Rattus norvegicus: one gene and its partner. Each later gene encodes a partner of the first gene's protein in a complex. Links are inferred from orthologs where the notes say so. Each region holds a gene or a part of one and is shown on either strand. Other genes may lie near its edges.

Region 1 (3,647 bases):
AATATTTAGGAAGAAGAGTAGACTGCTTTTGTTTGGTACATGACATACTTCATCCCTCAGACACCAGTGTGCCGCTTCAGGCATCTTTGGCCGTTACTAAGCTGTGTCACTCTGGCAGCTCTTTCCAGTTAGAGCACAGATGAGGCCAACACATTTCCCTAAGCATACAGTGCAGACATGGTTCAGTCACCTGAATCAGTAGTTTGCGGTCTTCCTCTATATTTTTGTGTGTGGTTTCTTGTTCCTGCTTCTGTTCAGTTTTCATTGGTACATTGATATTAACCCTCAATTTCTTACTGTCAAGACAACAGAGGAAACAGGTCATTAAAAAGCCTGCTTCCTGTCTTTCAACACTGCATGTTTTGCCTCTCTGGACTGGGCAGGTGGCTCACACCCATCTCTCTACATCATTTCTACCAACCACCTGGGAACTGCTCCTCCATCAGTCGTATGTAATTTTACCAAGAGCAGTGACTGAAGTGACATTTGACCCTCAATTTTGTGAAGTGTAATAACACTAAAATAACTTGATATAAAGGTCTAAACATGTCATGAGTCACTTAAACTTATTTTCAAAATAAAGAGAAAATCAAACTCAGTATTAAACAAAGCAGCACTGAGGACTGCAGGCAGTCAGCACGCCTATGCAGAGTCCCTTGGCTTCTGAAGTATGCCCTGTGCCAGGGGGGAAGACCAACAGCTATATATTAGATTTTTCTTACTTTTTATAACCAAGATATAACTTTATTAAGGTGTCTGGCTTCAATTCCACCTCATCAACATTGGCATTTTCATCTTCTAAGACCTAGAAGAAAATAACTGTTACTAGGCACATCCCAGGGTAAGGGTTACTTCCAGCAACACAAAGTATACAAACATACCAGCAATTTTGACTTCAGTAAAATCTGTAGGACTTGTGCCAAAATGTCCTGCAATTAAAGAAAGATGGTGAGCAAGGAGGAAGAATACTTCTTTCTAGTGGCTGTCCCAGAGACTCAGATCACTGTCTCACAGGAGTAGTCATCACCCCAAAGCAGAGCCCACCTAGAGAAAGTGACATGGACTGAAGCACCCACTACTCAAAGGCAATAATGCAGTTTCCCAAAACGACCGCACACAATATGTGGCCTGCTTCTTCTATGAAACCTACAGGAAATGATTCACTTCTTCAATGTCTGAAGCTTCAAAAGGCATTTATGTGGCGCTGGGGATCAAACCCAGGGCTGGGTGCCAAGCAAGTGTTCTACCACTAAACCACACCCTTGAACATGCAAACAAAGCAACCAGGAGCTTCGGCCGAACCAATGCTACACTACATTCATGACCAAGCTCAAACTCAGGGGCAGCTGACCTGCTGCCAACTTGGCTTTAGTGAACTCAAGTACATCATGTGACTTCTCTGAGGCATCAGCTGCTCCAGTGATTCCCAGCACCATCAAGCTTCATGGACACTTAACTTCCTCACCTGCACTCTTAACCAAGGCTCCCATGCTGGTCTGAGACTATGAAGGTAGGTCTGTCAGAGGAGTGGCAGCTATGAACTGGGGCCTGAAGGAGGGCGGCTAAAGACCCATAAGGTAATTCTAATACTACAAAAAAGTAGAAAGACTGGTGTGGCATCGAGGAGAAGGCCAAGTAGAGACTAGAGAGGCAGACCTGTCAGCCCTTTCAAACAGCCAGCAAAGAATAAGAGTAGGTTTTATAAAAATAAAAAATGTATGTACAACAGTGTATCCATCAGTAAGTGGACATATCAACTAAAAAATAAAATGGGGGCTGGGAGGGACTACAGCTTATGTGGTGGAGTACTTGCCTGCCTAACGTGCCCAAGGCCCTGGATTCAATCTCCTGCACTGCATAAAAACAGGTGTGGAGCATGTCAGTAATCCACTACAGAGTACAGATGTGTGGGTAAAGGCAGAGGGACAGTAAGTTAATTCAAGGCCATTCTCTGCCTACTTAGTAAGTTTGAGGTCACCCTGGATTATAGGAGACTGTTTCAACAACAACAACAACAACAACAACAACAACAACAACAACAACAACAGAAAACCCCAACCAAACAAAAAATAAAGTGAATGAGAAAAAACTTAAACTCGTGTATCTGTTCACCAGCACTCATGTGAAGGCTTAGCCTTGTCTGGAGCACTGTGGGGAATAAGTGAGAGAACCCTAAGTCTTACTGGCTATGCAGCCCTGCTGAATGGATAAGCTCCAGATTCCCTGAGAGACTCTGCCTCAAAGAAAGGATGAAAGTGTAACACAGGGACATCTACTTCTAGTCTACAACAAACGTGAATACAAATACATATATCTACACACAAATGTATCCATACACACATGTGCACACGTGTGCGTACACACACACATGCAAATGAATAAATACTACTATCTGCTAAGCCTTTGCAGACAGGATATACATAAGTGAAAATAAGGCAAGTGGAGAAAGAGACATATAGCTTGATTCTACTTTTATGTCATGTCCAGAGTAGAAGAGTCCACTCCTGCTTCGGTACAACACAGAAGAGGATAATGGGCATCAGAGGCATTGGGCAAAGTGGGAAGGTAGAGTTGTCACTGCTAACAGTTATGGTCTACTCTCAAGGGGTGGAGATGTTCTAGAATGGGATAGTAGTGGGGTTATATAAAGCTGTTTACTGACTAAATAAAATCTGGCCACTACCATCACAAGTGCTAGCCATCATGTCTGTCTAAGTACCTGTTTTCTCCAAAACTATTTGCTTAAAAACTGTAAAGTCATAAAATCATGAGAGTGGCACGTGGAGCTTTATGACCCATATTGCAGTGCCACCAGCACCAGAAATGTGGGGGTGTTCCTCACACTAGTTTGAGGTAAATCAGGTTAACCTTTGGCTCAACTGAACCTTGCCCATTATGTAAACTTCTCTCACTCAACCATGAGGATTCAGTGGTCCTGTTGCCATCCAAAGTGTCAGAGGTCCCAGAGAAACGCCCTCGGTGGATCTGGCCTGGTCTTCCGGTGCCTTAGTCCAAGTTTTACTACTTTTCATTTTTTTCTCCATGCAGTTAACATCTATTAAGTCAAAGACACCTGTGCCCTCTCCCCCTTTCTACAACATCCCAATGAACAAAGAACGGGCAGCTTGAGAGTACCAAGCAAGGATGAGACGGCAGACCTACCATTTTAATCTGAGTGCTGTCGGTCAGCTGCTGCACAGTATAGGCGTCTTCTGTGTTGTACTGAAGCAGGATGGCCATCTGGAATGTGGACGCCTTCACGGCCCAGAGAAAAGAAAGGAGGAAATGTGAAACACAGGAAAGGTCTTCATAGGTACAACCTACTTTCACAAAATGCATTCTTCAGATACAAAAGAGATGGAATACAAAATGTCACAAGGCCAGGAGACTGGACATTTTCCTTAAAGACACCTTTCAAACACTGAAAGGGCTTTCAGTTTTCTCCTGCGATGTATCCTCTACACAAGCATAAACATAAGAGCCTATCCACACTTGTGTAAACAGGCACCAGTTGTAGAGACATGAATTATGAGTTTAGTTTTTATGCACAGTAGTACCCCCTGGGTGGGGGTACATACCAGGTATATATTATGTGTGTGTTCAAGATGCCAGAGACCTCCATACCAGGTATAATGGTTACTTAATTA
Region 2 (3,647 bases), about 73 Mb from region 1:
GTTCTAAGGGCAGTGACTCCTCTCTGGGAAGTCCACAGTGTGCCTTCTGTGTGTCTCTGTTTCCCCTCACCCAGTGTTTACGCCTATGTTAAGTGTCTTTATTAAGTAGTGGCACTTGCCTTTAATCCTGGCATTCTGTACATAGAGGTGGTAGGTCAGTATGAGTTTGAGGTCAGCCTGATCTACATAGATCTAGGACAGCCAGAGCCAAATAGTGAGACCTTGTCTCAAATTTAAAAAGAGAGAGGACTCAGAAGTAAAAAGACCTACTTGGGTCCCTCAGTAGTCAAGAATTCAGACACAGATCAGTTTAAATTTATGGCTGCCTGTTTGTCAGGAATGCTTCCAGCCACAAGAGCTCAAAGTCATAGCAGCTTTTTTTTTTTTTTTTTTTTTTTCTTTTTTTCCGGAGCTGGGGACCGAACCCAGGGCCTCGCGCTTGCTAGGCGAGCGCTCTACCACTGAGCTAAATCCCCAACCCCGAAGTCATAGCAGCTTAAAGACCTTCTGTGATCTCTCTGGAGGGATGACTGTTGCTGCCGAGCTTTCTCCTCCCCTCTTCTCCCCCCTCCCCTGCTCCCCTTCTCCCCTCCTCCCCTCTTTCCTTCTTTTCTGCTGGAGACCAGTGCAGTGACTTAGATGCACTAGGCCCAGCCACTCCCATTCTTGTTGCAGCTCTGTAACTCAGTCTGGCAGACTCACATTCTTCATCCATGTTCTCCCCCCTTTGTAAGAAAAGACATTTCCCAACGGATTCTATCGCACTGGCCAGAGCTGGGCCACTGGCCATTGCTAGTAGCAGGGGACTGGGAAAAGTTTAACTTGTCTCCCTTCCTGGTGTGTGGGCCAGCCAGCAGCTTAGCCATTGGTTTGACCCTTTCCTTAGAGCTGATTCCTGCAGTTGTTCCTTAAGACTTGGGTCAAGCTTGGACCACTGAAGCCCAGGCTTTCCTAAACCACAGACATCTGGGGACTATGGGTTCAGAAGCACAGGCAGGCCAGAGTTGGCAGCTGCCGTCCCGAGCCAGGGCCTTACCCTTCCACTTGTGCCCTGCATAGGCTCGGGGCTGGCTATCAGTGTGTGCCGCAAGATCACCGGCCAGCTCACCAGTGCCATCGCCCAGCAGGAGGATGTGGCTGTGCAGCTGGAAGCCCTGGACATCCTCTCCGACATGCTGAGCAGGTGAGCGAGGCCACTTGAAGCCAGAACGACGGGGACAGGCAAGACCGAGATGAGTGGCCTGCAAGGCAGGTCCTGTGCTCAGGACGCCTTAGTCACCCAGCAGCTTTGCAAAGAGAGCAGCAGTGCCACACCATGGAACAGGCTCCCGAGGTCATCAGCTCCCAGTCACGCAGTGAACCTCTGGTGACTGTGCGTTTGTTCTGGAGGCAGTAAGGTTAGGTGCTAGCATGTTGGTCTGCGTTGTTCCTGGGGAGGAGTCACAGGCAGGTAGCCAACTAAATACAATAGTAGAGTGATTAAGTCAAGTACAGGGCCCAAGCTCGAAAGGCCCCGGTCCAGCAGCCGGACAAGGGCATCTACTGGAGCTGAGTCTCTGTGGGCCCTGGGCATCACAGAGGGCAGTGGCAGGAGAGGATTGTGAAAGGGTTCAGGTTTAGGGCTCAAGGGGACACTGATGCAGATTGTCCTTTTGATTCAAAGAGTAGAAGGGCCAGGTGTGGTGGTGCATACCTTTAATCTCAGTACTCCAGAGGCAGAGGCAGGCAGATCTCTATGAGTTCAAGGCCAGCCTAGACTACAAAGCAAGTTCTAGAACTGACAGGGCTGTTACACAGAGAAACCCTATCTTGTGGGGAAAGGGGAGATCCAACATGTTGGGCTCTAAGAAGAGGTTAGGCCTCTGGCAGAGTGGGGTTCCTTAAAGGTTTCAAAGGATTGAGAGGTTCCACACTATATGGGTGATACCTGTCTTTCAATTGGTGCTTGTAATCAGGACATCTCTGATTCAGGATGGCAGGGGTGGAGCAAGGATTCTTGTACTTAGAGGAAGGCGTAACTTCCAGGGTGTGGGAAGAGGGGCCCATTGATGAATATGTATGCATCATACTGTGTTAGTCTGGGACCTATATACAGTGTTAGCAGCATGTGTTCGTGACCTAAGCAGTCTCTGCTCTGGGTCCTAACAGATTTGAGCCCCGGGCTTGTGCGTGGTGAGCTGATTGGTATGCAGCAATGAGGCTGGAGGGCTGGGTAGGAGCCCCCAGGACACACCCCCATCCTCCTTTTCTCCCTCCTTCTGTAGTCTGGACAAGCAGGGCTGGATAGAAGTGCCTTTGTTTTTATGTTTGTGGTGGGATTGGGCCCAAGGTTTCAGTCATGCTGGGGAAGCACTCTACCACTGAGCTTTGTCTCTAACCCTCGCATGTTTTACTTTTGAGACTCCATCTCTCAGAGTTGCTCAGGCAGGCCTTGAACTCACTCTGTGATCCAGACTGGCCTTAAACCTGTAACCCTTCTGCCTCAGCTTTCCTAGCAGGTGAGACTATAGGCCTGTGCCCCTAAGCCTGGCTTGGCTTCCATAGGTTGTCTGAAGAGGTGGACTCCACAGGGTCTGGAGTGGTGAGACTAGAGGATGACCCTACAAGTCTGTTTTAGGAACCAGGAAATGAGAGGATTGAGGTGGGGTGCTCCGGGAGCAGAGAGGTACAGTAGGAGGTGATGTGTTCCATTTGGGCATGTTGAGTTTGTGGTGCTCGGAAGGCATCCCTCAATCAAGAGCTTCAAGGGCCAGAGTCTGTCTTTATGATCTGACTTCCAGCATAGAGCCTGTGACAAAGTAGATGAGTAAGTAGTCAGGCTGCAGCAGAGTGACCTGGGCTAGACACAGGAGAGTGAGGTCATGGGGGGCAGCAGAGCAAGAAGAGAACGACCTTGGGACACGGGGGTCAAAGTCACCCAGGGCTGTTTGACTGGGGGAGGAGCTGGGGCCACCGAGAGCCAGGGAGAGACTATATGAGGACTGCCACTTGTCTTGAGTTCAGAGCTCAGCTTATCCCGAGGACACTGGGGAGCCACCGCAGGATTAAGCAGAGCAGTGATCAAGTCTGTTAGGTGTTATTTCACTCGAGTCTCAGAAAGGAGAATAGACTTGCAGGGATGGGTATAAAGGCAAACCTCAGGCTTCCAAGAGTTTGGAACATCCTCACCGGAGCCCCCATACCCACTGCACTTCTCCCTGAGCTGAGAATTGGACACCTGGGTTCAGGTCATAGACTCACACTGTTGACTTCAAAGCCTTCAGAAGGCAGTCTCACCCCACTGACTGCCCAGTAATAAGCAGTCACTCCCCATCGTGAGAGGTACCTTCTCACTTTCCAATGGTCTTTGGATATCGTGAGTAGGAGGTACAGAGAAGATGGGGATGTGGATCCTAACTGCCTGAGTGTGGTGCCTGGCCTGACATTGCTCTCATCCTGTCCCCAGGCTAGGTGCCCCATTGGGCACCTTCCATGCAAGCCTGCTACACTGCCTATTGCCTCAGCTGAGCAGCCCGCGCCTGGCTGTGCGCAAGCGCACCGTTGTCGCACTCGGTCATCTGGCAGCCGCCTGCAGCACGGACCTCTTCGTGGAGCTTGCTGATCATCTGGTGGACCGGCTGCCTGGGCCACGGGCACCTGCCAGCCCT

Evidence for each region. Proteins that work in one complex are often made in the same cells at the same time.
Region 2: the proteins of Cul1 (region 1) and Cand2 are in contact, whole or in part, in a cryo-EM structure (PDB 8VVY), measured with the Homo sapiens proteins. The link is inferred for Rattus norvegicus from reciprocal best matches to the Homo sapiens genes CUL1 and CAND2. Residues at the interface, in NP_001357589.1 of Homo sapiens: Val31, Thr33, Arg34, Gln35, Met37, Lys39, Tyr42, Met111, Asp112, Trp123, Arg127, Phe128, Val132, Asn181, Leu184, Glu188, Gly193, Glu194, Thr195, Asn197, Thr198, Arg199, Ser202, Gln206, Val209, Glu210, Gly212, Leu213, Asn214, Lys221; in NP_001155971.1 of Homo sapiens: Asp21, Phe22, Phe24, Met25, Asn61, Gly62, Glu63, Gln65, Asn66, Leu67, Glu100, Gln101, Asp104, Asp156, Asp160, Leu189, Ala190, Lys193, Arg194, Glu276, Gln280, Asp343, Asp344, Trp349, Lys350, Arg353, Glu389, Ser492, Ser493, Thr494.

Annotation. Positions count from the first base shown.
Region 1 is NC_086022.1:77,614,300-77,617,946, reverse strand, and holds part of Cul1 (cullin-1), read right to left. Parts: intron 3,256-3,647; coding exon 3,163-3,255; intron 930-3,162; coding exon 882-929; intron 806-881; coding exon 723-805; intron 297-722; coding exon 191-296; intron 1-190. UniProt on the Homo sapiens protein: Core component of multiple cullin-RING-based SCF (SKP1-CUL1-F-box protein) E3 ubiquitin-protein ligase complexes, which mediate the ubiquitination of proteins involved in cell cycle progression, signal transduction and transcription.
Region 2 is NC_086022.1:150,514,125-150,517,771, forward strand, and holds part of Cand2 (cullin-associated NEDD8-dissociated protein 2), read left to right. Parts: intron 1-404; exon of another isoform or gene 405-485; intron 486-1,059; coding exon 1,060-1,183; intron 1,184-3,445; coding exon 3,446-3,647.